6 linked regions of the Macaca mulatta genome follow. The protein of the gene in region 5 purifies or fractionates together with the protein of the main gene of each other region. This does not show direct contact. Links are inferred from orthologs where the notes say so. Each region holds a gene or a part of one and is shown on either strand. Other genes may lie near its edges. The genes, in order: KDR, PLXNA1, BCS1L, FAM241A, NRP1 and UBR2.

The links.
Region 1: the proteins of NRP1 (region 5) and KDR purify together in Homo sapiens (affinity purification with western blotting; 7 studies listed by BioGRID and IntAct, with this or other methods). This does not show direct contact. The link is inferred for Macaca mulatta from reciprocal best matches to the Homo sapiens genes NRP1 and KDR.
Region 2: the proteins of NRP1 (region 5) and PLXNA1 purify together in Homo sapiens (affinity purification with western blotting; 4 studies listed by BioGRID). This does not show direct contact. The link is inferred for Macaca mulatta from reciprocal best matches to the Homo sapiens genes NRP1 and PLXNA1.
Region 3: the proteins of NRP1 (region 5) and BCS1L purify together in Homo sapiens (affinity purification with mass spectrometry; 3 studies listed by BioGRID and IntAct, counting the BioPlex papers as one, with this or other methods). This does not show direct contact. The link is inferred for Macaca mulatta from reciprocal best matches to the Homo sapiens genes NRP1 and BCS1L.
Region 4: the proteins of NRP1 (region 5) and FAM241A purify together in Homo sapiens (affinity purification with mass spectrometry; 3 studies listed by BioGRID and IntAct, with this or other methods). This does not show direct contact. The link is inferred for Macaca mulatta from reciprocal best matches to the Homo sapiens genes NRP1 and FAM241A.
Region 6: the proteins of NRP1 (region 5) and UBR2 purify together in Homo sapiens (affinity purification with mass spectrometry; 3 studies listed by BioGRID and IntAct, counting the BioPlex papers as one, with this or other methods). This does not show direct contact. The link is inferred for Macaca mulatta from reciprocal best matches to the Homo sapiens genes NRP1 and UBR2.

Annotation. Positions count from the first base shown.
Region 1 is NC_133410.1:78,388,818-78,393,422, forward strand, and holds part of KDR (vascular endothelial growth factor receptor 2), read left to right. Parts: intron 1-1,733; coding exon 1,734-1,848; intron 1,849-1,935; coding exon 1,936-2,099; intron 2,100-4,602; coding exon 4,603-4,605. UniProt on the Homo sapiens protein: Tyrosine-protein kinase that acts as a cell-surface receptor for VEGFA, VEGFC and VEGFD. Plays an essential role in the regulation of angiogenesis, vascular development, vascular permeability, and embryonic hematopoiesis.
Region 2 is NC_133407.1:156,974,319-156,979,532, forward strand, and holds the start of PLXNA1 (plexin-A1), read right to left. Parts: upstream 3,525-5,214; 5' UTR 3,475-3,524; intron 3,159-3,474; exon of another isoform or gene 3,096-3,158; coding exon of another isoform or gene 3,012-3,095; exon of another isoform or gene 2,927-3,011; intron 552-2,926; exon of another isoform or gene 35-551; intron 1-34. UniProt on the Homo sapiens protein: Coreceptor for SEMA3A, SEMA3C, SEMA3F and SEMA6D. Necessary for signaling by class 3 semaphorins and subsequent remodeling of the cytoskeleton. Plays a role in axon guidance, invasive growth and cell migration.
Region 3 is NC_133417.1:123,898,946-123,904,334, reverse strand, and holds the start of BCS1L (mitochondrial chaperone BCS1), read right to left. Parts: upstream 3,080-5,389; 5' UTR 3,067-3,079; exon of another isoform or gene 3,034-3,066; coding exon of another isoform or gene 2,894-3,033; exon of another isoform or gene 2,085-2,893; intron 1,562-2,084; 5' UTR 1,513-1,561; coding exon 1,193-1,512; intron 1,095-1,192; coding exon 955-1,094; intron 745-954; coding exon 550-744; intron 307-549; coding exon 243-306; intron 1-242. UniProt on the Homo sapiens protein: Chaperone necessary for the incorporation of Rieske iron-sulfur protein UQCRFS1 into the mitochondrial respiratory chain complex III.
Region 4 is NC_133410.1:121,399,552-121,404,671, reverse strand, and holds the start of FAM241A (uncharacterized protein FAM241A), read right to left. Parts: upstream 3,284-5,120; 5' UTR 3,071-3,283; coding exon 2,918-3,070; intron 1-2,917.
Region 5 is NC_133414.1:34,717,800-34,722,877, forward strand, and holds the start of NRP1 (neuropilin-1), read right to left. Parts: upstream 3,253-5,078; 5' UTR 2,763-3,252; coding exon 2,690-2,762; intron 1-2,689. UniProt on the Homo sapiens protein: Cell-surface receptor involved in the development of the cardiovascular system, in angiogenesis, in the formation of certain neuronal circuits and in organogenesis outside the nervous system. Mediates the chemorepulsant activity of semaphorins.
Region 6 is NC_133409.1:139,480,417-139,485,021, forward strand, and holds part of UBR2 (E3 ubiquitin-protein ligase UBR2), read right to left. Parts: intron 2,831-4,605; coding exon 2,721-2,830; intron 2,613-2,720; coding exon 2,532-2,612; intron 2,209-2,531; coding exon 2,030-2,208; intron 929-2,029; coding exon 729-928; intron 1-728. UniProt on the Homo sapiens protein: E3 ubiquitin-protein ligase which is a component of the N-end rule pathway.

The sequences.
Region 1 (4,605 bases), on a different chromosome or scaffold from region 5:
CAAAATGTAAATAATGACCTACTGTTGACTGGAAGCCTTACTGCTACATAAACAGTCAATTAACACATATTTCATATGTTATATGTATTATATACCGTATTCTTATAATAAAGCTAGAGAAAAGAAAATGTTATTAAGAAGATCATAAGGAAGAGAAAATATATTTACTGCTCATTAAGTGTAAGTGGATCATCATAAAGGTCTCCATCCTTGTCTTCACATTGAGAAGGCTGAGGAAAAGTGGGAAGAGAAGGCAGTGGTTTTGCTGTCTCAGGGGTGACAGAGGTGGAAGAAAATCTGCTTATAAGTGGACTCATGTAGTTCAAATTTATGTTGTTTAAGGGTCAACTGTAATTGAACTGGAATTAAATTGAACTGGCTTTGAGTAAATCACCTTAATTTTTTGTTAATTCTCTTTCATTTACATAAATGTCTGAGTTTACATGGTAATTTGTGTGGCATCCTACTTATAAGCCTTGGAAAGGATTTTGGATTTTATATCATGAGAATGCATCAGTAAAGTGGAATTGTAAAAATACCTTAGATAATACTATTTATTAGAGTTGTAATCATAAAAGTGGCAACAACTACAACAAGTATGATTTAGTGAGCCCTTACTTTATTAGCTCATCTCATCTTAGTAGTTGAGATTGGAACTCAAGTTCCTGACTACAAAGCTATGCTCTTGACCTCTAGGTCATGTGGCCTCCCTAGCAAGAACTTGAAAGTTTCTTCTGAATGAACAAAATAGAAATCACTAAGTGTCCTAAATTTATTCAAATTATTTCACTTGCCAAGATGCACTTGCCAAAATACACAGAGAGAGACGTGCTCTGGCTTATGTTTTGATAGAAGTACTCTTGTTCTCCAGGATACTTCAGGGAAATAGGGGCAGAAACAAGGAGGTTAGTTGGGAGGCTAATTACGTTTATCCAGGTGAGAGTTGAGGAGTGGCTTGGACAAGGGTAGTTGAGGTAGAGATAGTGAGAAGTGATCTGCTTCTGGATATATTTCAAAGGTAGAGTCAACAGGGTCTGCTGATCAATTCACTGGTTGTGGAGTATAAGGGAAAAAGAGTGGAAGATGACCCAAGTGTTAGCATGAGCAACTGAGTAAATGGTGGTGGTATTTACTGAGATGGCAAAGATCGAGGAGGCAGTGAAATTTAGGGAAACAGTGTTAGATATGTTTCTCTGGAGATGCCTATGAAACATCCAAGTGGAAATGTTTAATATATCAACCTGGAACCCAGAGGAGTCAGGGCAGAAGGCACATATTTAGGAGGTATGTGAATGCTACTTTAAACTTGAGGCTAGAGGAAGGTGTAAATAAAGAGGACGTCTGAAGACTGAGTCCTCGGGCCTATTAACACATGGTGGAAGAGGTGTGTGGAGTGTGTCTTGGGAGCAGAGGAGAAGGAGCACCCAAGCATCTCTGGGGGACTTAGAGAAAGCTGCACAGAGGAGCAAGTGTTTGAGTTGAGACTTGAGCAATCACTAGGCTTATGGGAGTGCACTAGTGGGGAGAGAAAAGCAAATGCAAGCACAGGAGGTGTGGGAGAAACACGGGAGGTGTGGGAGAAGCTGAAATGTGACCCACTAAAAGGTAGTACATGGAATCTTGGAACTGCAGCTACTCAGACCCTCAATGTTTTTGATGTTTCACTTGAAATGAAAAACTAAACCAAACGACCATTTACAATAAGCTGACCTTTAAAAAAAAATTTCTTGCAGAAAAACCTTTTGTTGCTTTTGGAAGTGGCATGGAATCTCTGGTGGAAGCCACGGTGGGGGAGCGTGTCAGAATCCCTGTGAAGTACCTTGGTTACCCGCCCCCAGAAATAAAATGGTAACTACTAGAAATAAACACAAAGCATCATTTCATGTGAGAGCAAATCCTTCGACTGTACTAATTCCTGAGAATTCTTTTTCATAGGTATAAAAATGGAATACCCCTTGAGTCCAATCACACAGTTAAAGTGGGGCACGTACTGACGATCATGGAAGTGAGCGAAAGAGACACAGGAAATTACACTGTCATCCTTACCAATCCCATTTCAAAGGAGAAGCAGAGTCACGTGGTCTCTCTGGTTGTGTATGGTGAGTCCATTCAGTTTTCCTCTCTGCCCAAGATTTATTATGATACATTGTCTTCCTAATCAGCCAGGCCACCATTCCTCTGCCTCCAGCTGCTTCACTCACATCATGGCCGGGCCTATGTACAAAAGTCATCTGGGGTGGTGAAGCTGAAGTGAAATGTAGGACTGTGTGCTCTGGCCATGTTTGTTTAAGAGGCCATGTAAATGAGCTTTGTGGTGGTCAAATGCAAGATTAAAGTAGTGATACCCTCGATAGTTTAAATGTTGTGAAAAAATAATGCCCACAGGGATAGTTGTCAAGTTAAGTTATACTACAATGTTCCCCTCTCATGGAATTGCCCACCTGGCACACAGATGTGTAAGACCCTTCTCCTTAGATTTTGTGCAAAGCTTCTAGTTTGATATTATAGTTGATGTATCAGTGAGGTACAGGCAGATTCCTACTCTGAAGGCTTTTGAAGTTGGCATTGTTGGCTTGGTTGGGGGCTTTTTTTTTCCTTTTTGACAGGAGTTCAGGGTCTGATTTTGAGTCTGTAAAGGCAAAATAGTACGTTTTTGATTTAAAGATGATTTGAACTTTGTTTTCTGAAACTGAAAGGTACAAATAAGTGTTTGGAATGGAATGGTGAGAAGGGTGCCATGGTCAAGTGAGTGTGAGGTGCTAAGGTGATGTGTAGATGTGTAACAGGTTTCTTTATTACAGGGACTTCTCAGAACCTTTTATATACTAATGTATATTGGTATTCTCTAGGGGGAGAGACATAGAGTATTCAAGGTTTAACAAACCTATTTGACTGGAGCATCGTTTTTCCCCTGAGCAAATTCATTAATCTCTCACTCCAAACAGTTTGAGAAATGCTTCTCTGTTGTAATTCTTTGTTCCCCCTTCTGGTATGGCATATTAAAACTTCAGGATATTTTCCCATGGCATTAAGGTGCTTCCCTATGTGTCCTAATACTCTTCTGTAGGCTGCTGAACTTGGCGTTATTTTTTTTTTCAGGGAATATTTTAAAGATAGGTTGGGCATGGTGGTTCGCATTCGTAATCCCAGCACTTTGGGAGGCCGAGGCGGATGGATCACCTGAGGTCAGAAGTTTGAGATCAGCCTGGCCAACGTGATGAAATCCCGTCTCTACTAAAAATGCAAAAATTAGCCAGGCATGATGGTGGGCGCCTGTAATCCCAGCTACTTGGGAGGCTGAGGCAGGAGAATCACTTGAACCCAGGAGGTGGAGGTTGCAGTGAGCTGAGATTGTACTCCAGCCTGGGCGACAAGAGCAAAACTCCGTCTCAAAAAAAAAAAAAAAACAAGATAACAGGTTCCACAGAGGTTGTTCAGAAGCAGCATAGGTGTAGGGGACTGGGGAGAGGAGAAACTGGAAAGTGTATAAGTAGGATGGGAGGAGAAAATGAACGGGAAATAAAAACAAAACATGGACAGCAAATAGCCCATTTCATCAGTTCATGAAGCCACTAAATATTCTATTCACTTTAGCATATACTCTGCTATGTGAAATAAACATAAAAAAGAAGTCAAGTCTTGAAAGCATAACCTGAGGCTTTAAGTTGACAGTAGTAACGAAATAGTTTTGACTTTGGAGTCAAAAAAGAAAGAAAGGAAAAAGGGAGAGAAGAAAGAAGGAAGTGAGAGAAGGGAGAAGGAAGAAAGGGGAAGAGGGAAAGGGAGTGGAGAGGGAGGGAGGGAGGAAGAGGGAGAGGGAATGAAAGACTCAGATGGTGGTGGCAGTAATGCATTCTCTAAAGATTTATGCCTTCCTTTAACATGAGGTGGTTTACGTGTTTGGGTTCAGAAGTCAGAGTGTCTAGGTTTGTTCCAGGTTTTGCCGTTTGTTAACGGAGTGACCTTGGGCAAGTCATTTTTTTCTGTATTTCATTTTTTCTCGTGTATAAAGCTGAGGATAGTAATAGTGGTTGTGAGGATTAAGTGAATGAATTCATGCAAAGCACTTCAAACAATGCTTGGCACATAATAAATGTATTTACTGTGCTATTTCAGCTATTTTCTGTAGCCTTCCCCTGATCTCGTGAACTTGAGAGGACAGAGAGAACTATCTCTGTAATGCAGATGAGAGGCACAGGATTCCAACACTTGCATAAAGTCATTCAGCTTGTTAGTTTATTAGCTTATTGCCATTTTTATTTTATTTTGTTATTTTATTCAATTTCTTTTTTTTTTTTTTTGGTAGAGGTGGGGTCTCACCATGTGGCCCAGGCTGGTCTTGATCTCCTGGGATTAAGTGATCCACCTACCTTGGCCTCCCAAAATACTGAGATTACAGGCATGAGCCCCCATGCCTGGCTAGTTGTTATATGAGTATCACTAGAACTCAGGTCTCTTGTTTCCACATCTAAGTGTTCTTCAAAAAAGGAAGTGGAAGCAAAATCACATGCTTAAAGAAAGTCAGCTTTAGTTGCTGAAATCCTCTATTTCCCATTCTTCAAAGCTGATTGACAATTCAAAGGTCGTTTTTCCTATCTTCAGTCC
Region 2 (5,214 bases), on a different chromosome or scaffold from region 5:
CATGTGAACTCCAAAGAAAACATGAATCACTCACCGTTTATCAGTTCAAAGCAGGCCTGCAATTACCAGGGGCTGGGCTCTCCCCTCCTCTGGGATAATTATACACGTCTTAATGCAATTATGGGCCCTACTTTTTATATTCAACAGGAGGCACCAGGCTAAGAAGCCACCATCCAAACTCCAGCCTGGCCCTGGGCCCACCGCCCCAAGCCCCACCCTCACCCTACTGCCCCAAAAGAGGCTGCTGGGAAGGGACTTGCCTGCGGGCACAGGGCTGCCGGCCAAGAAAGGGGGAGCCCCAAGCCTAGGGCTGGGTCCCTCATGCCCAGCATCTAACAAAGGCCACTGACAATGCTTGGGCTACTTCTTCCACCTTAGGGGTATAAGACGTGGGGCTCAGACTCAAGGTCACCCAACTAGTCCCAGCAGGACAGGGCCCAAATTCTGAGCTTCCAGAGACTGGGCTGGCCAGCCAGCCTGCAGGGCTCAACTCTCACAGGCCTGGGTCTGCCCAGGAAAAAATGCATTCATTCCAAAGCTGGGCCCAGGTGCCAGGTGCCAGCGTGCCAAGGGGCCATGCTGGGGCTGGGAGGGGAGCACCAGCAGATGCTGTACTCTACCGAGGAGCAGAGCTGGCCACTGTGGCCGGGGAAAGTCCTCAAGGGCCTTTCCACCTGCTCTGGGACCAGGTAGCCTGGAAGCTGGTGCAGGTGGGCATTCGTGGTGGGGGTGGGGGGCAGAATAGGAGGAGCAAAGGCCTGGGGTGGGAAACACTGGCTGTGCAAAGAGGGCAGTAAGAATGGCTGTGGCTCTCCGGCATGGCCAAAGCTGTTCTGGGCTGAGGCAGAGCCAGAGCCAGGGCGGGGGAGACTGGACTAGTGCTGGGATGCTGATGGGGCTAGCCAGGGAGAGAGGCGGAGAGAGACCTGGCAGCCGCGGGTAGGAGCCCCAGCCCAGGGGCTCGTCTCCTGGATAGGAGGGGATCGCCGCCTGGTGGAACGCCAAGCCAGCAGTGTCCCCTTTCCTTTCCTGGCCTGGGTGACACCACAGCTCCCTCTCACCCTGAGAAACAAAGGCCCCCAAAGCCCTCCCCACAAGGGAGAGTCCAATCCCCCCAAGTCCTCCTGCACCGGATCCTGCTATGGCTCAGGCAGGTTGGGGTGTGGGGCTGCCATCCTGCCCGGTGGCTCACAGCAGCAGCTGGGGAAAGAGAGCTGCTCCTGGCACCCCGCCTCCCCCACAACGGGGGTCATGGGAGGTGGTCCCAGTGGCCCTGCTCCCCACCAGTCCTAGGGAATCTGGATCTGAAGGCCTTGGAGTCCTGCTCTTGAGAAAAAGTGCCCACCTTTGCGGGCCTTCCCCTGGGGCATCCTCTCCTCCCGGCCAGCTGCTCTAAGCTGCTGTGTGCACGGGGGCCTTTCCTGGGGGCTCAAAACAAGCAGGCAACGACCATGGGGGGCCAGGAGTCCAGCAAAGGGCTGTCTGCTTTGTCCACAGGCACCTCATGTGTCCCCTGCCCCCAGAGCACACACCAAGGCCACAAACCCAGGCCTCTGCCCGTGCTGTCCTCTCTGCCCAAAACGCCCTTCCTGGGCCCCACCGGCACCCCCCAGGAATGGAAGCCTGGCCGTGCAGCGAATCACTGGTTCACACGCCTGCCTCTGGCAGGGGGCTGGTGCTCCTCAAGGGCTGGGCAGCGTCTTGGTGCCCCTGGTGCAGCACCTGGCCTCTGCCGCACACTCCAAACCGCAGGAAGGTGAGGGGACCTGAGGCAAGCTCCTCAAGGGCCCGGGGAGCAGAGACTGCGCCCCATCCCTGCACCGAACCCAAAACCGGCTACGTGTGAAAGGAGGTGGGGCAGCAAGGAGCAGCCCGAGCCAAAGGAGCCGCGCTGAGAGGACAGAGGCTCGACCACGTCCCCTCCCCCGCACACACACCCCTTTCTTTCAAGGGGCGTGGCCCCAGCACCCCACACAGAAGTCGGGGGCAGCTCGCGGCCCGGGGCCGCCCCTCGGAACCCCTCCCCTCCTTTCCAGGGCTGCACCTGGGACCTCACGCCGGCTGAGGGGCCTCCCTGGAGTCCCCACTCCCCCTTCCCCTGGCAGCCGGAATCTGCCCGCCGCCTCCAGCTTCGCCGCACACCAGGCCCGGGACTGTCCAGGAAGCAATCGGAAGCCTCCGGGGGAAGCGGCTGACCCTGGAGAGGCCCCGAGAGGGGGAGGCCGAGGAGGCCCGAGCGGGGCGGCCTCCCAGGCGGCACCCAGAGCCCACTTCCCCGCACCCCGGGCCACAGGGGGCGGTGGCAGCGGTGGTCCCGGGAAGTGGCTCCAACTTCCACCCCGCGCCCCAGGGCTGGCCGGGGGCTTAGCCCGCACGACCTCCTCCGGCCGCCGCGGCCCTGCCGGGCGGCTCCGATCCCAACCCAGGCCTGGCCATCCCGTCCTCGCCCGCGGACGGAGGTCCAAGCCGAGGTCCAGCGGCCGGGCCGGGCCTGGGCACCGCAAGGGCCTCCCCGCGGGGCCGCCGCAAACTTTATCCCCAGCGTCTGCGGAGGGGCAGCGCCCGCCCCCCGCCGCCCCGGATCTGCCGCGGGGCTCGGCGGGCCCGGCCGGGGGGCGGGGGAGGCCGCGGCGCTGAGCCCCGGGCCGCGGTCCCAGCCCCGCCGCACGGGGGTGCGGTCTCTCCGCGTCGGCGCCGCGGCCGCGCCCGGACACACGCGGACGCCTGGGCCGGAGCCGCAGGGACACGCGGGCCGCGGACACGCGCGCCGCAGTCCCCGCGCACACCCCCTGCCTGCCGCCTCACGAGAGGGCCGCCGCCGGAGGCCGCCCCGCGCCCACCCACTGGCCGCCCGGCCCGGGATCCCCGCCCGGTCCGGCCCCCGCCCACCGTCCCGCGCCGCGGGGAAAGTTGCGCCCCGACTCACCCGCCGCCCCGGGGCGCGCCCCGCCGCCGGCCATCGCCGCGCCCAGCCGCCCGCGCCGCCGCCGCCGCCCGCCCCGCCGCGGGGCCGCCGAAGCCGCGCAGGCCGCCCAGGCCGAGGCCGCCGCCGCGCCCGGGCTCCGCTGCGTGGTGGTGCCGCCGATGCCCAGCATGAATGGGGCGCCGAGCGCCGCGCGGCTGCGGACCGGCCTCGCTCTCGCCGCCCGCGGAGCGCCGCGCCGCGCGCATGCGCCGCCCAGAGCCCGGGGGCGGGGCGGGGGCGGGGCCGGCGGCGGCCTCCAGAGGGCGCTCTGCCCCGCGTCGCGCGCCCGCAGGGGCCCACCGCGCGCCTTCAAAGGGCGATACGGCTGCCCGCCTCAACTCTCTGGGTGCCGGGGCCGCGCGAGCAGTTCCGGGAGCCCACCCGCCCTCGAGCGGGGTAGCCCGCGACTCCGGGAACAGGGCCTGGCTCAGTGTGTCCGGGCTAGGAGCATGGCCTCCTTTCACGGGAGGGGAAACTGAGGCTGAAGGAGGCAGTCGCAGTTCCCAGACCTTGCGGGGCCGGGTGTTCCTAGCTCTCGGCCTCGCGCATTCCTCTCTGTCAGATGGGGGGGCACCTGCGCGGGGAGCCCGGGCGCCCCCTGCAGGCCCCAGGCTGGTGGCGCATTCCTGGCTGGGGACGCGGCCCAGGGAGGAAAGTCCCGTGGCAGAGGCGTGGTGAGACGCGAACTCCGGCTGAGCCAGGGGTAGCGGGTCTGGAGGGTGCGAGGGGTGGGGCTGCAGAGTCCAGGGTGACGAGCCGGAGCTGCCCAGGCAATACCCCCAGCCTGCATGGCAAGGCTGAGGGGCAGACACCCAGCACTCGGTGACTGTACTCACAACCGCCACCCGCAGGCGGGAGGCATCCGGGAGGGCGTCCCGGTGGAGGGCAACCAGGCCAAGGGGAAGCCGGCAGCGGGAGCATCAATAACAGAGCAAAAGGGCCAGGAAAACCCGGCTGGGGACTGGGCCTCCATCTGTAGCCTGTGGGGTGCGGTTTTTGCTGTGTGAATCACGTCACCCCTACAGAAGAGGAACCCTCTACAGTTCACATGGTTAGGAGGGAAAGGGAAGGGACTCATACCGGGCCCAGGTGTCCCTCCCAGTCTCACCCTGCTCCTCCCTCCTCAGGAGCAGCCACAACCCTCATTTTTGTGTTCATCTTTAACTGCTTTTCTTTGGGTGTGACCTCTTATATTTGCATCCCAGAATGGGACGCTGTTTGGTTGGCTTGTTTTGGGTATTATGGAAACGGGGTCACTCAGCCTGTGCTGTTTTCTCCGTCTGCTCTGTGTGGTGAGGGGCACAGGGCGGCTGCTCGCAGGCATCGTCCTCGCAGCCTGTTTTGTGGTATTCTGCCGCGTTGGGCGCCTGCTCACCCATTCTCCTGCTGATGGACATGGAATTGTCACCTACCTGGGGCCATGATGACCAAAGCTATGATGAGCATCCTGTGCATGCCTCTCAGTGGGCACCTTTAGATCCAGGGATGGTCTGCAGGGTCATGGGGTAGGATATATCTAGCTTTAAGAGATACAGCAAAACCGTCTTCCCAAGTGAAAGTCCCAGTTTACACTCCCAGCAGCTCAGCAGGAATGTGGAAGGGTCTGGCTGTGCCACATCCTCACCAATACTTGGCACTCTTTAGTTTTGCAAATCTAGTGGCATGAACTGGTTTTTCACTAGGTGGTTTTGCTTGTCTGCTTTTTTTTTCCCCTTTAGAGACAGACAGGGTCTCGCTCTGTCACCCAAGCTGGGGTGTTGTGGTGCAATCAGAGCTCACTGTAACCTCAAGCTCCTAGGCTCAAACCATCCTCCTGCCTCAGCCTCCTGAGTAGCTGCGACTACAGATGGGCACCACCATGTCTGGCTAATTTTTTTTCAACATAGAGATGAGGTCTCTATGTTGCCCAAGCTGGTCTCAAACTCCTGGGTTCCAGTGATCCTCCCACCACAGCCTCTCAAAGTGTTGCGATTAAAGGCATGAGACACAGCACCCAGGCTCATTGAGTCTCACCCTGTCACCCGGACTGGAGTGCAGTGGCTCGATCTCAGCTCGCTGCAACCTCCACCTCCTGGGTTCAAGTGATCCTCCCACCTCAGCTTCCCGAGTAGCTGGGATTACAGGCATGTGCCACCATGCCCAGCTAATTTTTGTTTTGCCATGTTGGCAAGGCTGGTCTCAAACTCAAACTCAAGTGATCTGCCCGCCTCGGCCTCCCAAAATGCTGGGATTACAGGCATGAGCCACCA
Region 3 (5,389 bases), on a different chromosome or scaffold from region 5:
ATGGCAGGAAGTAGCAGGCAACCTGGAAATGCTTCCTCAGGCCCAGCTACTCTCCTCACAGTCTGGGGACTTGTGTCTCAGAGGCCTGATTTCTACCTCACACCCTAATGTTCCACACATTTCATGTTTATCCTGGTCCCCGGTCCCAAGTTCCCAGATTCATTTCCCTTTCCAACCCCATCAGCCCAGCGTTTCCAAAAAGGCTTCATTTTGCCAAGTTAAGAGAAATTTTGAATACTCACATAAAACTGCTCTTTCCGCAACCAGGGGGCCCATAAAGCAGGTAGCCACGTCTGTAGGGAATGCCTAGGGATAGAGCCAGGATGATCATGTCTTTTGCCCCAGATATCTATGTTCATTCCCAGCCCTGGCCCCTGGAAGCCTGATAATCTTGGTACAGAAGTAAATCATTCTCATACACAACTTTTCATTCCTCTTAATCTCTGGGAATTGGACTAGAGCTTTATATCACCTCATCTGGCCAGAGACCAACCTGTCCCCTCTAAAAATGTCAAAAACAGCACAGCCGAGACCCCAGCTGCTTCTCACCTCTGTCAGTGTACCACTTGGGGTTATCGATGAATTCCTGGACATCTCTGACAATTCGGTCAGCCAGACCCTGTTGCAGAACCACAGAATTCAGTGGTCGCCGGCGGCGTGGATAGCCAAAGGGACGCCATTCAGAGCCCACAGCTGTGTACATCACGGTCTTCCCTTCCTCCTGCTGCAAGGCTAGCTCTCGAGCTGGGAAGGAGAAGAGATAAAGCCAGTAATTCTCTTCACCATGGCTGATTCTTCAGTTAGGTGGAGCTGAGCCAAACAGCTTCCTTCTGGCCCCCTGTTCCCATGGGCTCACCACAGCCTGCTTATTCCACCTCTCCAAACTGCTCATCTGATGTCAAATGTCCCCATCCCTGCAATGTCCCGAGAAAGCCTGCCTGTGCCATCCCACACCTTCCTCCAGGATGTTGAAGAAAACCTTTCGGTCAGTGCCCAGGGCCGTGAAGGTGACAGATTCCCAAGGAGTTCCCGTCTGCAAGTCTATCATCTGCATCTCTCGACTTCGTTCTACCCGGATCCATTTCCCCCGATACCTGAATAAGAACGATCAAAACAGAGTGAGTGAATGGGTCAAACCCAGCTTCCATCGTTCTTTTCTACTCGCACAGCCCTCCCTAGCTCCCAACTTTACCAGATAAAGTGGTTTCCAGGGCTGGGGACAAATTCAAACTTAGTAGAAATACGGCCGCTCTCATGCTGAAGGTACGAAGTCTCGACACTGAGGTGCTGAGTACGGGTACTGTGGCGGGTGAGCCAGCTAAGCAACCAGGCATAGCTCCTGTCTCGAGCAGGGACTTCCAGTGTGATCATGTAATGGCGCCGGAATGCCACCAGGCCCAGTTGGGCACCCTTCCGGGCCAAGGCCAGGGCTGTGCCCACACCCACCAGCCCAAATCCAGCCCCAAAGTAGGGATTGTCCTTCAGGGCCAGAATAAAGTCTGAAAGTGGCATCTTGAAAGGGAAACACCAAACCTTACAGGACCTGGGGTGTTACAAAAACCTAGGGGTGGGGAACAGTGGAGAAGGGACAAAGCACAAGATTACTTTAGAAACTGGACCTCCCCAGCCCTGCCCACAGGTCAGCACTACTGTGTGGGTCAATATCCTCCTTTTGTGGGGTAAGGGTAGTGTTGGAATGCAAGGGTGGAGACTCCAGGCCCCTCATCCCATTTTGCCCTTCATTAGTCTACTCATACCTGTTTCCTACCAGAGGACCATGTCTGGAGATGCCTTAAACCAAAAAGAGTTATATAAACTGGCTTCACATCAGGATAATGGATGGACAAGATTTTTGTCGTCCCTGGGACCAGCTTTGATAAAAAGGGGCCCACTGGCTGCAGTCAGCAAAGGAGAAGCATCCATTGACTTGTCAGTAACCCTATGCCTTGTTATGAGTAATGTCCTTCAAATATCCTCACCCTTACATCCCCAATATCTAATGTCCTGTTTATACCTTTATTACCTCCCACCTAAACTGTCTTTAAAATCATAGTTCTTGAAATGGCATTTTAAAAGGTCTTCACCTTAGGCCGGGCGCGGTGGCTCAAGCCTGTAATCCCAGCACTTTGGGAGGCCGAGACGGGCGGATCACGAGGTCAGGAGATCGAGACCATCCTGGCTGACACGGTGAAACCCCGTCTCTACTAAAAAATACAAAAAAACTAGCCGGGCGAGGTGGCGGGCGCCTGTAGTCCCAGCTACTCGGGAGGCTGAGGCAGGAGAATGGCGTGAACCCGGGAGGCGGAGCTTGCAGTGAGCCAAGATCACGCCACTGCACTCTAGCCTGGGCGGCAGAGCGAGACTCTGTCTCAAAAAAAAAAAAAAAAAAAAGGTCTTCACCTCTGGCTTCACGGAACAGCTACAAAAGGGTCCAGATCTTTCATCATAGGGATAAGCTCCAATTCCATCTCTCTCTCTGCTCCAGCACCTTCAATGGCTGGCTCCCAACAGACCCCTGAACTGGGTACAAACTCAGCCTGGTACTCAAGGCCCTCTACAATACGGCGCCCACCTACCTTTCATGGATTAGCTCCCAACACTACCTGTTCAGTAAATATGCAAATACGCAACAAATATGTTCAACAAGTAAGCAACCTCCCAACTCCTTGTTCATGCAGTTCTCTTGGCTCGGAATGCCCGTTCTTTTCTCCCTCATTCTCCCCAACTGAAAATCTGCCCATCTGCTACTTTCTCCACGGATCGTCACATTGTAGACAATAAGATCCTGAGGGATAAGCGCGAAGTTGTTTCTAGTACACCTCTCCTCCAACCCCGAACCCCGGCCACTTTGCCCTGCCCCTGGCATGCAGGGAGATGAGCTGACAGCAGAGACCTCGGCTGAGCCTCAGAATTGGTATCCAGAATTCCAAAACACCTATGCATGGAAGGCCACAGACAAAGCTCTCCCGCCTCCGGCCCCTCTGCGACACCCAGGAACCTCGCCCACACCCCAGCTCGCGCCTCCAGCCACATGCTTTGGGGTAATCCGTCGCTCAGCCTTCTCACCGATACGACTCTCTGGCCCTCTGTCTCGATGGTTTCACCGCGCCTGCACTTTGGGGAAGCTGCGCTCGGCCCCGCCCCGGGTCCTTTCATCGACTTCCCGCCACACCCACCAAGAAGCCCGCGCCACTCTATCCCAGAGCTCTCGATGGTGCTTCTCCGGCTTCAGGGCTGGAGTTGGGGTGGAGGGCGGGAAAAACCAGAGAGAGAAAACATAGAGTACCCCGGCAGCCGGCAAGAGGAAGAGAGAGTGGCTTCCACATCCCCAATATCCTAGAGGCGGCTGGGCCGGAGGCGGTCGCACAAAGGGGGCACCGGGGGCCGCTCCAGCCGCGGCCGACCATAGAGATGCGGCTCCAGCCGGCTCGGGGTGTGGAGGTGAGTAGCTGCGGGGCGGAACTGGGAAGGGAACGCGGGTGAAGCAAGCTGGAGGCAAAGTTTTTCGAGCCCCGGGATCAGGGTGGGCCTGGGCTCTGGGAACTCTCGGGAGGAGGTACTGAAGGGAGCACCCAGAGGAGCTGGGCCCCGGCACCGCAGTTGCGTCACGCTTCTGGACCCCGCCCGGTACCCGCTGCTCTCAGGACCAAAATCATGACGATGCTCCATCCCAAGCCTTCCAGGTTACAAGCCGCCTTTCCCGTTCGCTGGCTCTTATGATCCAGTTCTCGCCCGACGATGTGGACACTGTCATCACCTCCATTTTACAGACAGGAAAGCTGAGGCCCAGAGAAGCGATGCGACTGTGTCTGTCCAAGGCTACGCGGTGAGTCAGAGCCAGAGGCAAGTGGGAACCTGGGTCCCTGGGCCGGGACCCGTTATTTCTCCAGACCTCCTCTCTGCCTTAGTCTGTCCTTTCTCTTCCTCAGTCCTCCTGCCCGGAAGATAAGCGTATTTCTTCTCTCGTGCCCACCTGTCTCCTACCTCACCTTGCCCTTCCTCAGGTGAAGGTTCTTAATCTTGACGGCTCAGCGTCCTCCTTGGCTCCCCCCGGAGGCCATGTATGGCCAAGCTGGAAGATTCCCCAGAGCAGCGATAATATTCAGTAAGTGGAGACTGCGGTTTCCAGAGAATCCCTCTGGCCACGGGAGTGCACACTTCCCAGCCACCTTGTGAATCCCTATGATCTGTTGTTTTGAGTCGTGGGATTCTGGAAATAGGGACTATCAGATTGCAGGATCTTGGGTTTTGTTTGCTTGTTTGTTTGTTTTTTGAGACGGAGTTTCTCGCTCTTGTTGCCCAAGCTGGATGCGATCTCGGCTCACTGCAGCCTCCACCTCCCAGGTTCCAGCGATTCTCCTCACTCAACCTCCGGAGTAGCTGGGATGATTACAGGCGTGTGCCACCACGCCCTACTGTTTTTTTGTACTTTTAGTAGAAATGGGGATTCACAATGTTAGCCAGGCTGGTCTCGAATTCCTGACCTCAGGTGATCGGCCCGCCCGATCCACCCGCCTCGGCCTCCCAAAGTGCTGGGATTACAGGCGTGAGCCACCGTGCCCCGCCTGGTTTCTTCTTTTTTTTTTTTTTTTCTTTTTGCATCTTCTCTGTGACTCAATTTCATGAAGTGATTCCTATCATTCTTATTAATTACTAATTATTCAGCTTAAACTCATTTTAGCCATGTATAACAGGGTATGCAATTTAATTGTCATTCATTTCTCAGTTATGTTCCCATATTTAGTTTGAGGCCATAGTCAGTTAATGAGTTTGAAATTTCTACAAACGTGTTATGCTATAGGTGAGGAACCACTGGTTTAGTGCAAGATACCTAGCGTTACTCCAGTGCAGCTCCATGTCTGTGCTTCTTCACTGGAAGCTTCGATTGTGGGTGATTTGTGTTCGTTGAAGTGATAACATCAGTATCACAAAGTGATGTCATTGAAGTGATAATGTCAACAAATTACTAAAAAGCTACACATCTAGGGAGAGAGACTGATGGGTAAAAAACAGTGCAGTGTGACCTCGTTTCTGAAAGGGCTGTGTACAGAGTGCCCTCAGGATGCCAGAAGAGAGAAAATTAAGAGTGTCAGGAAGCCAGGCCAGCGCAGTGCCTCACGCCTGTAATCCCAGCACTTTGGGAGGCTGAGGCGGGTGGATCACCTGAGTTCGGGAGTTCAAGACCAGCCTGACCAACATGGAGAAATCCCATCTCTACTAAAAATACAAAATAGTAGCCAGGCATGGTGGCGCATGCCTGTAATCCCAGCTACTCAGGAGACTGAGGCAGGAGAATCGCTTGAACCCAGGAGGCGGAGGTTGCAGTGAGCTGAGATCATGCCACTGCACTCCAGCCTGGGTGACAGACTAAGACTGTCTCAAAAAAAAA
Region 4 (5,120 bases), on a different chromosome or scaffold from region 5:
CTTGAAATTCCTTCTTTCCCTTGCTTCTCTCTCTTTAGACACCCGATCCTACTTCAAACCTGGCACAGTTTCTTCATCTACGGGACTTGATTCATTCTCCCAATGCCTTCTTTCTTAAGTGACTTGATTTTAACCAGGCCTCCTTTGTCAGTCACCCTACCTGGAAAGACTCAGGCCAGAAGGACAGAGGGGAACCTTCTTTTTTTGCTCAAATGGAGTAGCATCTAAGGACAAATTGTAAAAAATGATGCAGACAATATCTTAACTAGTAATAAAACACCTATGTTAATACTAGCATTTCAGTATTATATGAAATAAATAACAAAATAAAGATACATTTTGTTCTGGTATTATAATAACAAGCTGATCAAACAGCCTTCCAGGTTGAGGAAAAGGAATGAACCTTTCAGATAGAAGTGGAAAGAAAAATCAGTGAAGGAAGGGATGTATGTGGAGGAGGCTTTAGCTTGAGAAATAGCCCAAGAAAGAAACCTCCATCAAATTATCAGGAAAGGGCAAACTCTGTGAGGGGAATAGAAATAGAAAGGGACTTAGTACAGAAAAGTAGGTGTTGACAAAATCACTGAAAGAGTTAGAGGAGCACAAGTCAGGTGCCTCTGGAGTTACCGAGTTCAAGAGCATACAACCATAGCTCTTTTCCGGGTTAGAAGGAGCGCCTCTGCTAGCTCCTGCCTCTAATTTCCTCTCAATATCCATGAGGCTATCCATGACTCTGGAACACCAAGTGAGCGTGCCAAGCAGAAAAGACGGCAGGAAGATGGCCTCTGTCTCATTTCTAGCTAATTAGTTTTGGTTCTGTTTCTGTTTATATCATGGTTTTCATGGAAAAGTTCACCTTAAGTTCTAAATCATTAACTTAGAAACCAATCTTTCAAAAATATTCCATTTGTAATCTGGCGTCCTTGTATCCTTAAAACCACCAAGAAGACAAACAAAAATCATCTCCTTAAATAAAAGCTAAATAAAACGAGTCCTTGGGATATGTTCCATTGTTGTTAATTACATTTCTCCCTCAAATATCTTTACACATGTAACGCATAACAGTTTTACATTTACAGGACTTGAAAAAAAACAGCAAGGCTTTATATAATATTACCAAGAAACGATTTATCAGAAAAGTTTGCTTTTTACACCAGTGGGTTGGGTTGCACCAAGTTTTTGCTTATTTTTGGCTTCTTGACAAATTCTTCTTTGCTGCTAATGTAGTAGGTAATGCCTATCTCAGAAGTGATTTTTAATTATTGTGTATGGGGGCTTCGAATACATTAATAAATCTTGAGGCAAAAAGAGAATGATAAAAATAACACTTCAAAAGAGTACAGGAAAATGAAAAATGAACTTTCATGACATTCAATGAAGGAGCAGGTATGCAAAGTGATATCTGTTTTCTAAGATATACATTTCATTTTTTGTTTTATCCTTTTACTTTGTAACATAAGCAATTTTGGAAAGACCACAGCTATTAGTGATGTCTACATAATCATACTAATGAAGTGCACAGAAGCTTAAATGAAGTATTTTATATGCTCCCTTACAACCATTTGAAAATTTACTTTGGAAACCCCTGCTCAAATGCACCCCCTCCCCACCCCCAAAGGAATTCTTGTGCTGTCTTCTTCACTTTTCCAGTTGAGCAATTTAAGCTAGAGGAAACCAAGCCCTTGAGCAACTGAGTACAGTTAACGGGAAAAACCACTAGGAAGGCAATCAGAAGAACTAGCTACCAAATTATTTGCTTGAGTCATTTTCTCTTATATTGTCACAGATGAAAAATTACACTCCACGTGGTGAACAAACCTAACGCTAAGGCATATTTTGTGTGCTGCACAGTGTTACTCTGTTTCCTAAGTAACCTATTGAAACAATATAAGGTATACATCTATTAACGCATTTAGTGATGATACTGGAATTTGTGAAATGTGACAGAAAGGATAGATGAAGAAAGATGAGGAGAGACAGGTATTAATTGTTCTAACAGTACAGGCTGTAATAAAGGCCAATAATCATTTGAATTCCTGCGCCTTAACGTGATTCTAAAGATTGGCTTACCTCAGGTATTTGGAAAGTCTAAATACTGTATTTGCTGTAGAAAATTCATCCAACATACAATTCAATTTTAAAATTAAACCTTTTGTCTAATCTTTAAGATATCTGATGTTATAATGCCCATTATCACACTTTATTTAAATGAGATCAAACTCAGCGAGTTTAAAAAATAACCCAACTTCTCTCTTCCCTTATTATGGCTGGCCTCTTATACTTCTTTCTCTTTAGTATAATGCTAACCGAAAGCAATATTCTTGCCTCTCCACTTCTTAACTGAAGCTTTGATCTCATCTGTGTTTATGTGAAGAACTCGCTCTGGGAGAGTCCCTGTCAAGACATCCATTGTAACACCCGCTCCTACTCATGCTTTCAGCGCTGCCCTTGGACGGAATCCACCCACACCTTCCAGACACGCTAGGTGTGGGCTCGGAAACGCAAGATGGAGGGCGGGAGGGGAGTCCCGGCGCAAGGCACGGACTCGAAGTTGAAAAAGAAGTGTTTACAAGTGAGGCTTTTAAATAAATCACCACTATGGAGGGCATTTCCTCCGAGCCCTGGGCGCCGGCCTGAGAATCCTCTGCCGGACGCCAGGGGACTGGCCACACTGACCCCGTCAGACACGCGACCCCGCGGCTGGCGCTGGCGTCCGCACTCGCGCGACCCCGCGGTTCCTCCCGGGAGCGCCGTCTAACCGCTCCCGGCGGCGGCTTCCCAGAGAGCCGCGGAGCCAGTGCCCCACGCGGGGCAGAGCTGCGGCGCGGCCCACTGGCCTGATCCCTTCCCTCCACCGCTGGGCGGGGCTCGCGGCCCCAGACCCTGACGCTCCGCCGCCGCCCCTCCCCGCGCTCACCTGCTCGTTCTCTTTCGGCCGCTGTCCGCGCCGCCGCGGGCTCGCATCGGGATCCCGCTCGGTCCCTGCCGCCGCCTGCTCCGCCAGCGCGTCCCCGTCCTCGTCGCGCTCCCCGCCGTCGCCGCCCCGCAGCAGCTCCCTGGCTGAGCACATCCCGCCACCAACTCCTGCCGCCCGGGACAGCCGCCGGAGGACCACGCCGCGACGCACTAGGGAGCGCCGCCGCCCGAGGGCTGCCCTGCGATCTGCCGCACCCGCAGCTGACAGGAGCCTCCGGAGCGCGCCCCGCCGGCCTGGGCGCCTGAAGTACCAGCCCGGCCCCTCCTGTCACTGGCTCGCCCAACCCCCGGCTGTCGGGGCGGAGCCATACAGGGGAGGGGCCAAGACAGGGGGCGGGGCCAACGGGGTGTGTTGGGGGGGATGTGTGTGAGAGATTGAGAGGCCGACAGACTGAGAGAAGAAGGGGGTTGTGTGAAAAACTATGGACATAGACTGCATGAGGGAGATTGTACACGATGAGAGAGGCTGTGTGTATGTATGAGGGACATTGTGCGTGTGTAAGAAACCATTAGAGAGTGTGAGACAGACGTTGAGCGTCATTTGTGTGTGTAAGAGAGATTCTATAGAAAAGAAACTGCATATAAGAGATTGTATGCACTTTGGGAGGCCGAGGCGGGAGGATTGGTTGAGCCCAGGAGTTGGAGACCAGCCTGGGCAACCCCGTCTCTACTAAAAATACAATTAGCCAGGCGTGGTGGTGGCATTTTGATTCCAGCTACTCAGGAGGCTGAGGTGGGAGGATTTCTTCAGCCCGGGAAGTCGAGGCTGCAGTGAGCAGAGATCACACCACTGCACTCCAGCCTGGGTGACAGAGCCAGACCCTATCTCAAAGAGAGAGAGAAAGAGAGAGAGAAAGAAAGAGAGAGAGAGTGTATGTGTATGCAAGAGACTGTGTGAGAGAGAGACTGTATGAGGGAACAACAGAACACAGAGAGATCAAGTGTGAAAGAGAAACTAGTGTGAGAGAGCCAGTAGATATATTTAAGAGTGCATTTGTGTAAGAGATGAGTGTGTGTGGGTTTGCATGTGAGAGAGAAACACACATACACCCAGTTACACTCTCCAGCAGGGTCCCCCTGTTCTTGCCTGAGTAGCTGCCCATCCTTTTCAAGGAACACACATTTCACTGTCCCTCTTGTTCCTTTAGCCTCCTTTCCTAGTGTCTCACTGAAGGTCTGTGTATTTGTCCCTTTCTGTTGAGTGCTTCCTAGTGTGTGTAGTTTATTGGAGCCTTGGGTCGTTTGATGGTGTATCCAATGGTGTATCTTTCTATAACTGGCTAAGAATACATCTTTCTTAGTGGGTGGTAAGGGGAATATATCCAATTTGTAATTCTTTTTTGTACTACCCCATCCATTTTGTTCAAGGAAAATGGAGGGGTGTTTAAATAAAATATACTTTTTTCTGTGTATGCCTTATCTGTACATTGAGAAAGCGATGGGTTATTGTATAGGTAAAATATCAGAAAAGTAAATATGGAAAGTAAACATGTGTACACATGAAGAAGAGTAAGAGTTATTTGGGACCTTCTATTAAAATGTTTTCAGGCCCAGAAAAGGAATTAAAATAGGCAGAATCCCATAGGCTTATTTTTAAGACCTGTTTCCTGTTTTTTGTAGTCAGGAGACTCTCAGTCTTTCTCACACACCCACAATCTTTCATACCCACAATCTCTCTCATACACACATGATTTCACATACATATAGTTTGTCTCATATATATACAACCTCTCGCACACACCATCTCTCACACATAGTTTCTCACACACGCCCTCTCTAATTGTCTCTTCCACAAACAGTCTCTAGGGGCCAGAAAATATGCTATTGGATATCAAAAATTAGAAAGAAAATGAATCTGGCTCATTCCCTTTCTTAAAAGTCTTTAAAACCCCAGAAGAGAGTATTTAATATTATATACGTATAATCAGAAACAAATGTCACCATGGGAACCCAGTAGCCTCTCTGATGACCTCATTATTTTTCCCCTAAAGACAACATTTTCATTCTTGGAATTTTGGTTTGTCTATTAGTAGTGTTTCTTATAAAAACCAACTTTTTTTTTGGCTGGGCACAGTGGCTCACACCTGTAATCCCAGCACTTTGGGAGGCCAAGGCAGGCGGATCACAAGGTCAAGAGATGGAGA
Region 5 (5,078 bases):
ATTACCTAAATGTTGGGTGAAAAATAACCCACCACACAGGTGTGGGTATCATGTATGGTAACCCACATTCTCACATTCTGGGAAAGGTGAGCTAACTCGTTTTGAGCCTTCACTTCAAAAATGCTCAAGTGAAGCCAAATAAACCAAATAAACTAGTCTCTGGACTGCCTTATTGTTCAGCATAGATTCTCATTGTCACATTTTATGATGGATTTCATACTGGAGCACCTCAGCCTGAAATGCTGCCACATTTACTGATGCTTAATTTTGAGCAATAAAAATTCGGTGCATAAACTATACAAGAGAAACAGGTATGAAAGCAGTGAAATATATAAGCCTATCAATCACAAATTTTCAGTAATGGTATATATAGATTTTAACACTGCATCTAATAGATTCTCTGTGGAAAGAGAATGGCATTCTTTGCTCTCAGCATGAATTTATAAATCTACAGAATTTTATTACAGGAAAACCAGGTCAAATGGAAATGAAAGATGAAGTGCACATCAAAAATGCGCAAAGCTACATGCATCACAGAAATCATTTCCCATAAATTAAAAAAGAAGACAATATAAGTTATATTGTTTTTCTCAATCACTAGGTGCTTGACTTTGTTCCTTAGACTGGGGGTAGTCTTATTCTGGTTTCCTTTGCATTGGCTTGTAAAAGTGTAAGGTTTGCCAGGAAGAAATGATGTTGTAACTGGAGTTCAAAATCTCAGCTAATGATCATGTTGGACTCTGTTCTGTGATTCTACTGAGACTCTTGCATTATTCTGAATGTGCAGAAAACTTGGAAAGTGACCTCGTCTCATTAAGTCTCCTCCAGCTCTGGACAAACATCATGGTAGTGTCTGGCATCTGTTACAGGAGTGAAATAAAACAGCCCTGGTTCTAGTCACTCAGCAGAGTCACTTCAGAAGACATTTAGGTGGACTTGGTACCACACCAGAGCTCTTTAATCTGTGACTTCTGAGAAAGTGACAGTGTAATAAGATAATGTGGACTGCTAGACTCTCTGGCTCTGTTAAATCTCTCTAGCAGTTGATTAAGAAAGAGCAATTTCTAATGACTCTGGACCATTAGTCCTAAATAAGGTTAATGAACTAATTTAGCAGACACTGGTTACTTAGAGGAGGTGGACATGGCTTTAAGAGGTTCTGCTGAGTTACAGTGGCATTTTCTGGCTCTGGTCACTTCAAGCATAGCAACATGGCTTTTGCTGGTCAAGCTCACCAACTAAAGCCAGATTTTCAGCATTCCCCATATTTCTGCTAAGAAAATTAAGAAGTGTGTGTGTGTACTGCATATATATTTGTGTAGTTCACAACCTAAAGTCTGATAGCTCTTTGCATTGAGCTTGTGAACACCCCTGCTATGGATTTATTCTCAAAGAGTTGTGGAGGACAGGGTTACTATAATTTCTAGTCCAACCATTTGAGCTCTTTCAGTTGGACGAGAATGCTATTTCATTCCCTGCCAGAGTATAAAAAGATGCTACCAGCTCAGGTTCATTAATAAATTGAACTCTACATTCATAATTTTTTGTGTCTTGCTTTCCTGCCAGATTATAGAAAAATGCCATCAACTTGGGTTCACTAATAAGTTGAACTCCATGTTCATAATTTTTTTTGCATGTGTTTTGCTTTAAGCATCTCTTTAGAATACTGCTTGGTAGCTGCTGAGGGAAATCCATTGCTGAAATCACAAAACCTTGAAAAAGCATATTAGAGAGATTAACTTCCATCATAAAGATGTGATTTAAATTCCTGTTGGTATGAGGGCGGTCTCTTGTTAAAACAATATACCACAGTAAGTAGTGGATGTTCTTTTCTTCTAATTACTGTGATTGAAATCTAAGCCAGACAAAAGTAAATATTTGATCATTAGTTAATAACAATTGCTGACGACTTACTGTAAAGATAATTGCATACCCTTGCCTGCACTTACTTTACAGTGTGAAGTCAAACATGCCTACAACCAGATCCCATTTTAAAACACATTATTTAGGTTACATGGTACTGTTTAGACCCCAGTATAGTTTTTCATTTACTTGACAGTGAGTGGTTTTAAAAGCTGAGTGGAAGCTGCAACTAGCTTAGGGATTTTCAGATATCCTGGTGCCTTACACTGTATATATCAGATTCCTGTATTGATACTATGTAACTTTCAGTCATACTCCAGACAGATTAGGGAAGATGTACAAAGGCGGGGGAGGGAGTTTCATCAACCCACAAACCGATATCTCTGGCCATCACCCACCAGAGGAAACGGCTTAGGGGCACAGCAAAGGAACCAGGAAGTAAGATCTCCTGGTAAAGTGTTCATTAACTTTCAACAGCCATCAGATTTTTGAAAGGGAGTCTCTTCTAATTGCCTTTGGGAGGAAACATTATTAAGATAATTGGCGTGCTGATCCGGGAAGGTAGGCAGCTCTGTCTTGTAGCAGAGGTAAGGAAAAGCCCCGCAGCCCAACGATCAACGTCAGGAGGGAGCCCAAAGACCTGAAATCCTCCTGCCCTAAACCGCCTGATCTCATTTCTTCATCTCTCCTCCCAGATAAAAGTTTCCTTTGCCCGGGAGTCGGCTGTTCCCGGCTGATCCCGGGAAGCCCCGCCTGAGCCCCGGTCCGGGGCGGGCAGCTGGGAGCCTGGGCGCCGCTGTCACCCGCGCCTCCGCCTGTCACTTACCGTTGCGAAAAGCGCCGGCCGGGGCGAGGGCGAGGGCGAGCGCGGCGCAGAGGAGCGGCAACCCCTTCTCCATTCTCCCTTTGCCGGGTCCGCAGGCAGACGCGGGAGAACGAGGACGTGGGGGGAAATGCAGCAAAGAGGGGAATCCAAGCGATCCGAAGAGCCCCAACTCCGCCTAGAGCTGTACAATCCTCAGCCCGTCTTGGAGAAAGGAAAGCAGCAAGGCAATGCCTGGATCCGAGAGGAACGCTTCTCTTTTTGTGTCTCAAGTCGCCTGCATCCTGTCATTTAGCTCCGGCTTCCTCTCCCTTTTCCCACACTTGTTCCTCTTCCAGGAGCCACTGCCCGGGCCATGTCTCAAAAAAAAAAAAAAAAAAAAAAAAAAGGGAGGGGGGGCTGTGGGTGGGAGGGGGAGGAGGGAGGTAGGGCAACACACACCAAAGCCAATTTCCAGGAAGAAAAAAAAAAAAAAATCCGGCTTGTTTCTGGACCCGTTGGAGCCGCGGAGCTGGCGCCCAGGGGAGGTCCGGGTGTCTGCGGGAAGGAGAGGAACGAGCAATGAAAAGATGAGCGGGAGACAGAGGAGTTTCACCAACTGCACCCCCTCCTCCCCTCCTGCGGCCTCCCCCCACTCCGGAGCCCTTCCCTCGCTTCATCCCGCCCCTCTCCCCGCTCGGGCTCGCCTGTAATTGCCTGACAGGAGACTGGGAGGAACAACTTTCCCTCCGAGTGCTCTCCCCGTCCGTCTGTCTGTCTTTCCCGGAGATCCTGCAGGGATCTCCGCGGGAAGGAAGGCGCTGGGAGTCTGCGCCCCGGGCGCGTGGGTGCGGGCGTCGGAGGAAGGGGCGCGGAGGTCGGTGCCAGCCGCGGAGTCTGGCCAGCCCACCTCGCGTGCTCGCTCTGCACCCCTAGAGGGAGAGCTGGGCAGCTCCTGGAGGCGTAGATCCCGCTGCCGCGCAGTGCGGAGCGCCCGGGAGGTGGCGGCTGCTTCTCGCAACTTCAAATCCTGGGGCCCGCGCCCGCGGCGGCGAGGAGCGCAGGGTCACCCCCTGCCACTCCTCATCGCGCCAGCCTGAGACCTGTGGCGGGGAGCAGTGGGGCACCCCTGGAGGCCCCCGCCCAGAACTGGAGGACGAGGAGGGGAAAGCCGGGCTGGAGTGGAAGCCGCACCGCGAAGACGGGAGAGGGGTGGCAGTGTCGCTGCAGTGTGAAGCGAAGTCAGACCGCCTGGCGGGCGAGGCCGGGTTACAGCCCCACGCGGCCTCACTGGCCCGCATCAGGGCGCGCGGCTGGGTGCCGATCGCTCCCGGGTGCCCTCTGCGCGCCGCGGAGGCTTCATTGTTTCCCGAGATTTGGTGCCCGTTCCTCTGGGGCAGAGGGAACACCGGAGGGGGGAGGTGCTGCGCCTTCCAAGCTGGGGGGCAAGCGCCTCCCGACACCACCCAACCTTGTCTGGGAGCCCAGGTGCTAGGGAGGGGTGTGGAAATCAGGGGTCGGGTGACCTCCGTTTCTCTGTGCATCCGGAGGGAGGGAAAGAGTGACGGGGGAGGGGTGCTCTTGGCTGCGCCCTCACAGTGCCCGCTCCCAACCACAGGCAACGTGCACGCCGGCCCTCGAGCTCCTGCCACCCCCACTTCCCACAGCGGCGCGTGCCCCCAGCCCGCTGGATGCCCCCCAGGCCCATCTCCGAGGGTTTTCCGAGAACTGTTGCAGGAAGCGTGTGTAGATGGGAAAAGCAAGGACATTTCAGGGAACAAACAGGTTGCGGTCACCGATCTGTCCCCAGAGAAGGGTCAATGCCCACGGGCCACCTCCCAGGGAGTTTGTGGGTAAGGTGAAAAGGTCACACACCTCCTGGGGATTGGCGTCTACACACACAGCCAAAGTGCAGCCTGATTCCTACCTGGCACAAATAGCTGGCCAAAGGGAGGTAGGAATGCTGGCAAGGAGACTCTGGTCAAAGGTTTTGGCGGAAGAAAAAGGGGCGGGCAGGGAGAAAGCCCAAGGCGCGCGGGCCCCAGGCCAGGACTGCGCGCTCGCGGCTCCGGCTGGGCGCAGTGACGCGCGTCCCTCGGGGTGCGGGCGGGTCCCGGGTCAGTGGGGGGTGCACCCGTGGGGCCCGCACTCGCCACTCTCTCGCCCAGGGTCAAGCCTGTCTTCTCCTCCCCACGAGCCCCGGGATTCCCGGTCGCCTAGCTGGAGACTCGGCCGCCCGGGCGCCTCCTTCCTCTGCTAGTTTCCTCCTTCTTCTCAGCTGTCGGACCCTTGGAAGGCGCGGAGTGGGAAGTGGGCACAGAAGGGCTGGGAGTTAAATGCCTGCGTTGAGCGGAAGAGCAGTGTCGAAGCCGTGGGCAGCCCCGCGCCCAGACAGGCGGGAGGCGAGACAGGG
Region 6 (4,605 bases), on a different chromosome or scaffold from region 5:
CTCAAACCTCCTTTCACACTGCAGTGTGAAAGGCATGGGCTAAAGAAGTGCTCTGGGAATTTCCAAGACACAGTTCCTATTCTCAAGAAGTTTACTGTGTATCACTCAAGCATATGCACACAGAGCACAACCTACAAGCAGAGAAATAAATGTGTCAGTGGACAAAATCATGTACAGACTGGATCTCCCTGCTTTACTTCCTCAGTTGCTGAAAGAGGGCCCTCAACTGTCCTGCACAGTAATCTGTATCTCAAGAATCTGCTTTCTGGGGAACCCGATCTGTGGTGGTATCACTATTCTAAGTCAGAATTTGGCTCAAGGATTGCCTCTTACATAGGTAACTCTCTATCACTGTTCTCAGGAGATTCCACTCAGGCTCTATCAATAAGACAAAGCAATTATTATTTCAGTGTGTCAACAAATGACCAAGGCTTTGCAAGTGTACTGAAGCATGGGAAAGACTGTGAAATGCCAAAGTATGTAATGTTACATCACAAAGAAAAGCTTTACTTTGAATCCCTGCTATTTATCAGCTATATGATTCAGATGTAACTTTCTGGAGTGGTTCCACATCTGCCAAGTGGGGAATTCCTGCCTAAGTTACCTGCCAAAGATACCATCCAAGTCTATGGAGTCATTCTTAGATTTAAAAAATCTCAATGTATCATCAACCACATTAACTGGTAGTTGTTATTAATCGGGAAGATGAGGATCTAGCTATGACTTACCTGGATCTTGAATAAATTTACTTCTGTTTTTTGATAATACAGTTGATCTCTGAACAAATGCTGCCAAGACCATTGCCCTGCTTTCCACTTTAACTTCTTGCTCCTCTTGACACAATATACATGTAACGAATTGTCTTTGTTCAGGAACCTGAGTTTGTGTGGGGCCCAGCGCTGTAAGTGTCATATCTGAAACCACAGGGCTGCAATACAAAGGTTATGAATATAATTAACGATCCCAAAAACTTTCTACATAATCATAAAATAGCAGACTACAGGTATGTATGTGTGCATATACATATATATCTATATATTTTTTAAATTTTATTTTTTTCTTTTTGAGACGGAGTCTCGCTCTGTCACCCAGGCTGGAGTGCAATGGTGCGATATCGGCTCACTGCAAGCTCCGCCTCCCGGGTTCACGCCATTCTCTTGCCTCAGCCTCCGGAGTAGCTGGGACTACAGGTGCCCGCCACCATGCCCAGCTAATTTTTTGTATTTTTTAGTAGAGACAGGGTTTCACTGTGTCAGCCAGGATGGTCTTGATCTCCTGACCTCGTGATCTGCCTGCCTCGGCCTCCCAGAGTGCTGGGATTACAGGCATGAGCCACTGTGCCCGGCCCACTTTTATTATTTATTTATTTTTTTGAGATGGAGTCTTGCTCTGTTGCTTAGGCAGGAGTGCAGTGGCATGATCTCAGCTCACTGCAACCTCCACCTCCCAGGTTCAAGCGATTCTCCTGCCTCAGCCTACTGACTAGCTGAGATTATAGGTGCACACCACCACGCCCGGCTAATTTTTTTTTTTTTGTATTTTTAGTAAAGACAGGGTTTCACCATGTTGGTCAGGCTGGTCTCAAACTCCTGACCTTGTGATCTGCCCGCCTCGGCCTCCCAAAGTGCTGGGATTACAGGTGTGAACCACCGTGTCTGGCCAGGCATGTATATATTTAACACATGGTTTTGATAACTTGGATTGTCAAGTCTTTGGTATGTATCAAAACCATCTCCTTTAATTCTCACAGCAATCTAATCTGCAACACAGATGTCACACACTCTAGATAACTGAGTGTAGTGTACTCATTCTTTCATGAATGTCCAAGATCTTCTGCAGAAAATACCCTACTATATTACCATATCTATATTCAGAGATTTCTAAGATTAAATCTTCTAAATGGAGGTCACAAAATTTACCTACGAATTCTAATAAATTACTTTAGGTTTAAAAATATACTTACAAGGAAAAAAAGCAACACTGCCCCTAGTTGGGAACAACTGGTCAACAAATTAATTTTTTTTAATACCTATTATCAAGAACAGCAGAGGTTGAGGCATCCAGTTCTAATGTCTGCTGAAAGAGTTCTTTGTTTTCATCAATAAAATGCCGCTGCATTTCAGACATCTGAGCCATGATCTTTTCTCTGCGCAGTCTGGCAATCTCTGCTTTTCTCTTCCTCTCAGCTTTGTCTTTGTCCCTTGAACTCTGAAATTATGCTCCATTCAATTAGACCATTAGATGCTAAAACACACATTTTTTTCCAAAGCAGAAATATCTTTATTGTAAATACCAATTAAAAACTATTCTACAATCTCACTTATTTAAACAAGAGAAAAGACTCTTAAGTTGACCTAACATGTTTTAAAGGAAAAAAGCAGACAAAAAATTGCTACAACAAATAGAGACAAATAGTGGCATATTTGTTGGAATTTCAATGTTGTAACTGGCAACTTACTGTAGATAAATTTAATTTGTTCATACTGAACTTGTTATAATTTTTTAGCATTATCACACTTTACTGTTTATACCTCTTCCATTATGGTTCCTTCTGTCTCTGTCACGGGACTGGTAGGTGAACTCTCCCTCATCTTTTTAACAGCATTAAAAGTCTACAAAAAAAAAAAGTATCAGTATCCTGTATGAAATATCATCACAATGTACACGTAACAAATATTTAATATTTCTCACAAAAAGCAGAAGAATGTAGGAAATTTTACCTTCAATATCCACCGAATCATGTCTTTGTGGACTTCTAGGTAGGGAGCATTTTGTAGTGTTTCCAGCATAGCTAGTATGCTAGGAGAGTTTTTTGGCGCTTCACCAGGTTCTATGTCAGAAAAATAAAAGGCACAATAACAACAGCTAACACTTCATAGTACTTATTCCTATGCACAGGAACATAAATGCAGTTGCTTATAACACCTATTGCCCATAATTTGATTATGACTCTACCAAAGAGATTTTCAATACTTCTTGAGAATGTGACATATGTGCCTTTTACAAACAAGCTGCCAACAACTAGAATTCTTTAAGCATTCAAAAGTGACTTTTAATAGCAAACGAATTTGCTAAAATGTATTTTAGCAAAATTATATATAAATTCAGCTAAAAATAACTGGTGTACTTGAGATTTTACAGGTCTAAAAATAAACTAGCATTAAGAGGTGCACATATGTACAAATACGTTTATTTGCTCTGACCATTGCCTTTAATAAAAACTAGATTCAGAATAAAATGAATTTCTTCCCCTAGGAATTCACTGTTTATTTGAATATAAGAGTTAAGTCCATATTTTCTATTAGTCTGTAGTCAGAAATGTTCAATTATCGATTTTCTTGATTTTGGTGCTGCCATTCTGGAAAAATGTGCCTTTTTCCTAAGAGGGAAGAGATTGACCTTTGTGATCTTTAATATTCTATCACATCTAAAACTCTGTGGCGTGCATTAGGGATGTGACTCTAGATAAGGGAGAGGTTTCTTTGCAAATAAATCGTGTGTCTTAATTATGTAAAATGTCTAAAGACAAATTAAGAGTAATGTTGAGGGAAAATGATGATCGTTTAATAAAAAGGAAAGAGAAAGTAAGAGAGAACCTAATATATATATATATATATATTTTTGAGACAGAGTCTTACTCTGTTGCCCAGGCTGGAGTGCAGTGGTGTGATCTCAGCCCACTGCGACCTCCACATCCTGGGTTCAAGCGATTCTCCTGCCTCAGTCTCCCGAGTAGCTGGGATTACAGGTGCCCACCACCATGCCCGGATAATTTTTGTATTTTTGGTAGAGACAGGTTTCGTCATGTTGGCCAGGTTGGTCTCGAACTCCTGACCTCAGGTGATTCACCCACCTCGGTCTCCCAAAGTGCTGGGATTACAAGCATGAGCCATCGTGCCTGGCCAAGAACCTAATATTTTATAGTGATGAGTGAATGAAATTAGGGAGTATTCTGTGTGGTTATCCTAAAATAAACACACCAGAAACAAAGAAAGCAAAAACCACAGTATTAATCCATAGAAACAATACGGTAGAGAAAAAGAATAGGTAAAAACTGGCATCCATGAATAAAGTGTTCAGTGGGGAAAGGTGGTTTCTCCTCTTTCTCTCATTTACTTGGATGAGAGCAAAAAGGAAAACTAGAGATCTAGAAGCAAACAAAATTACTCCTCCCTGTCCCCTGGTAGCATAATTCTCACAGTTATCATTTAGGAAGAAATGGCACTGAACACATTTACAGAAATAATCCTTTTTAATCAAAGCATTTATAAACTCCTATCATAGCACCATAAATTCATTTAAAAACACCTCAGCAAATAGCTGACTACCGGTCTGTGGCAGGGAAAGTATAAGATGAGCTTGGGCATCTTTTGGGCCAGAAAGTGAGGTGGTACTTTCTGGCCCAAATGGGGCTGGGTGAAAAGGACACAGAAACTGACTAAATAAACTCCCACTGATCAAAGTGGGCATGATTTGAGCATCAAAAGGAATAATCATTATAAGTGACTATAAAACACTGAATAAGTAAAATGAATAATATTTTAAAAAACTCTAAACAAAAAACATTCAAAGTTGCCACAATTGCAGGTAACTATCAGGCCAATG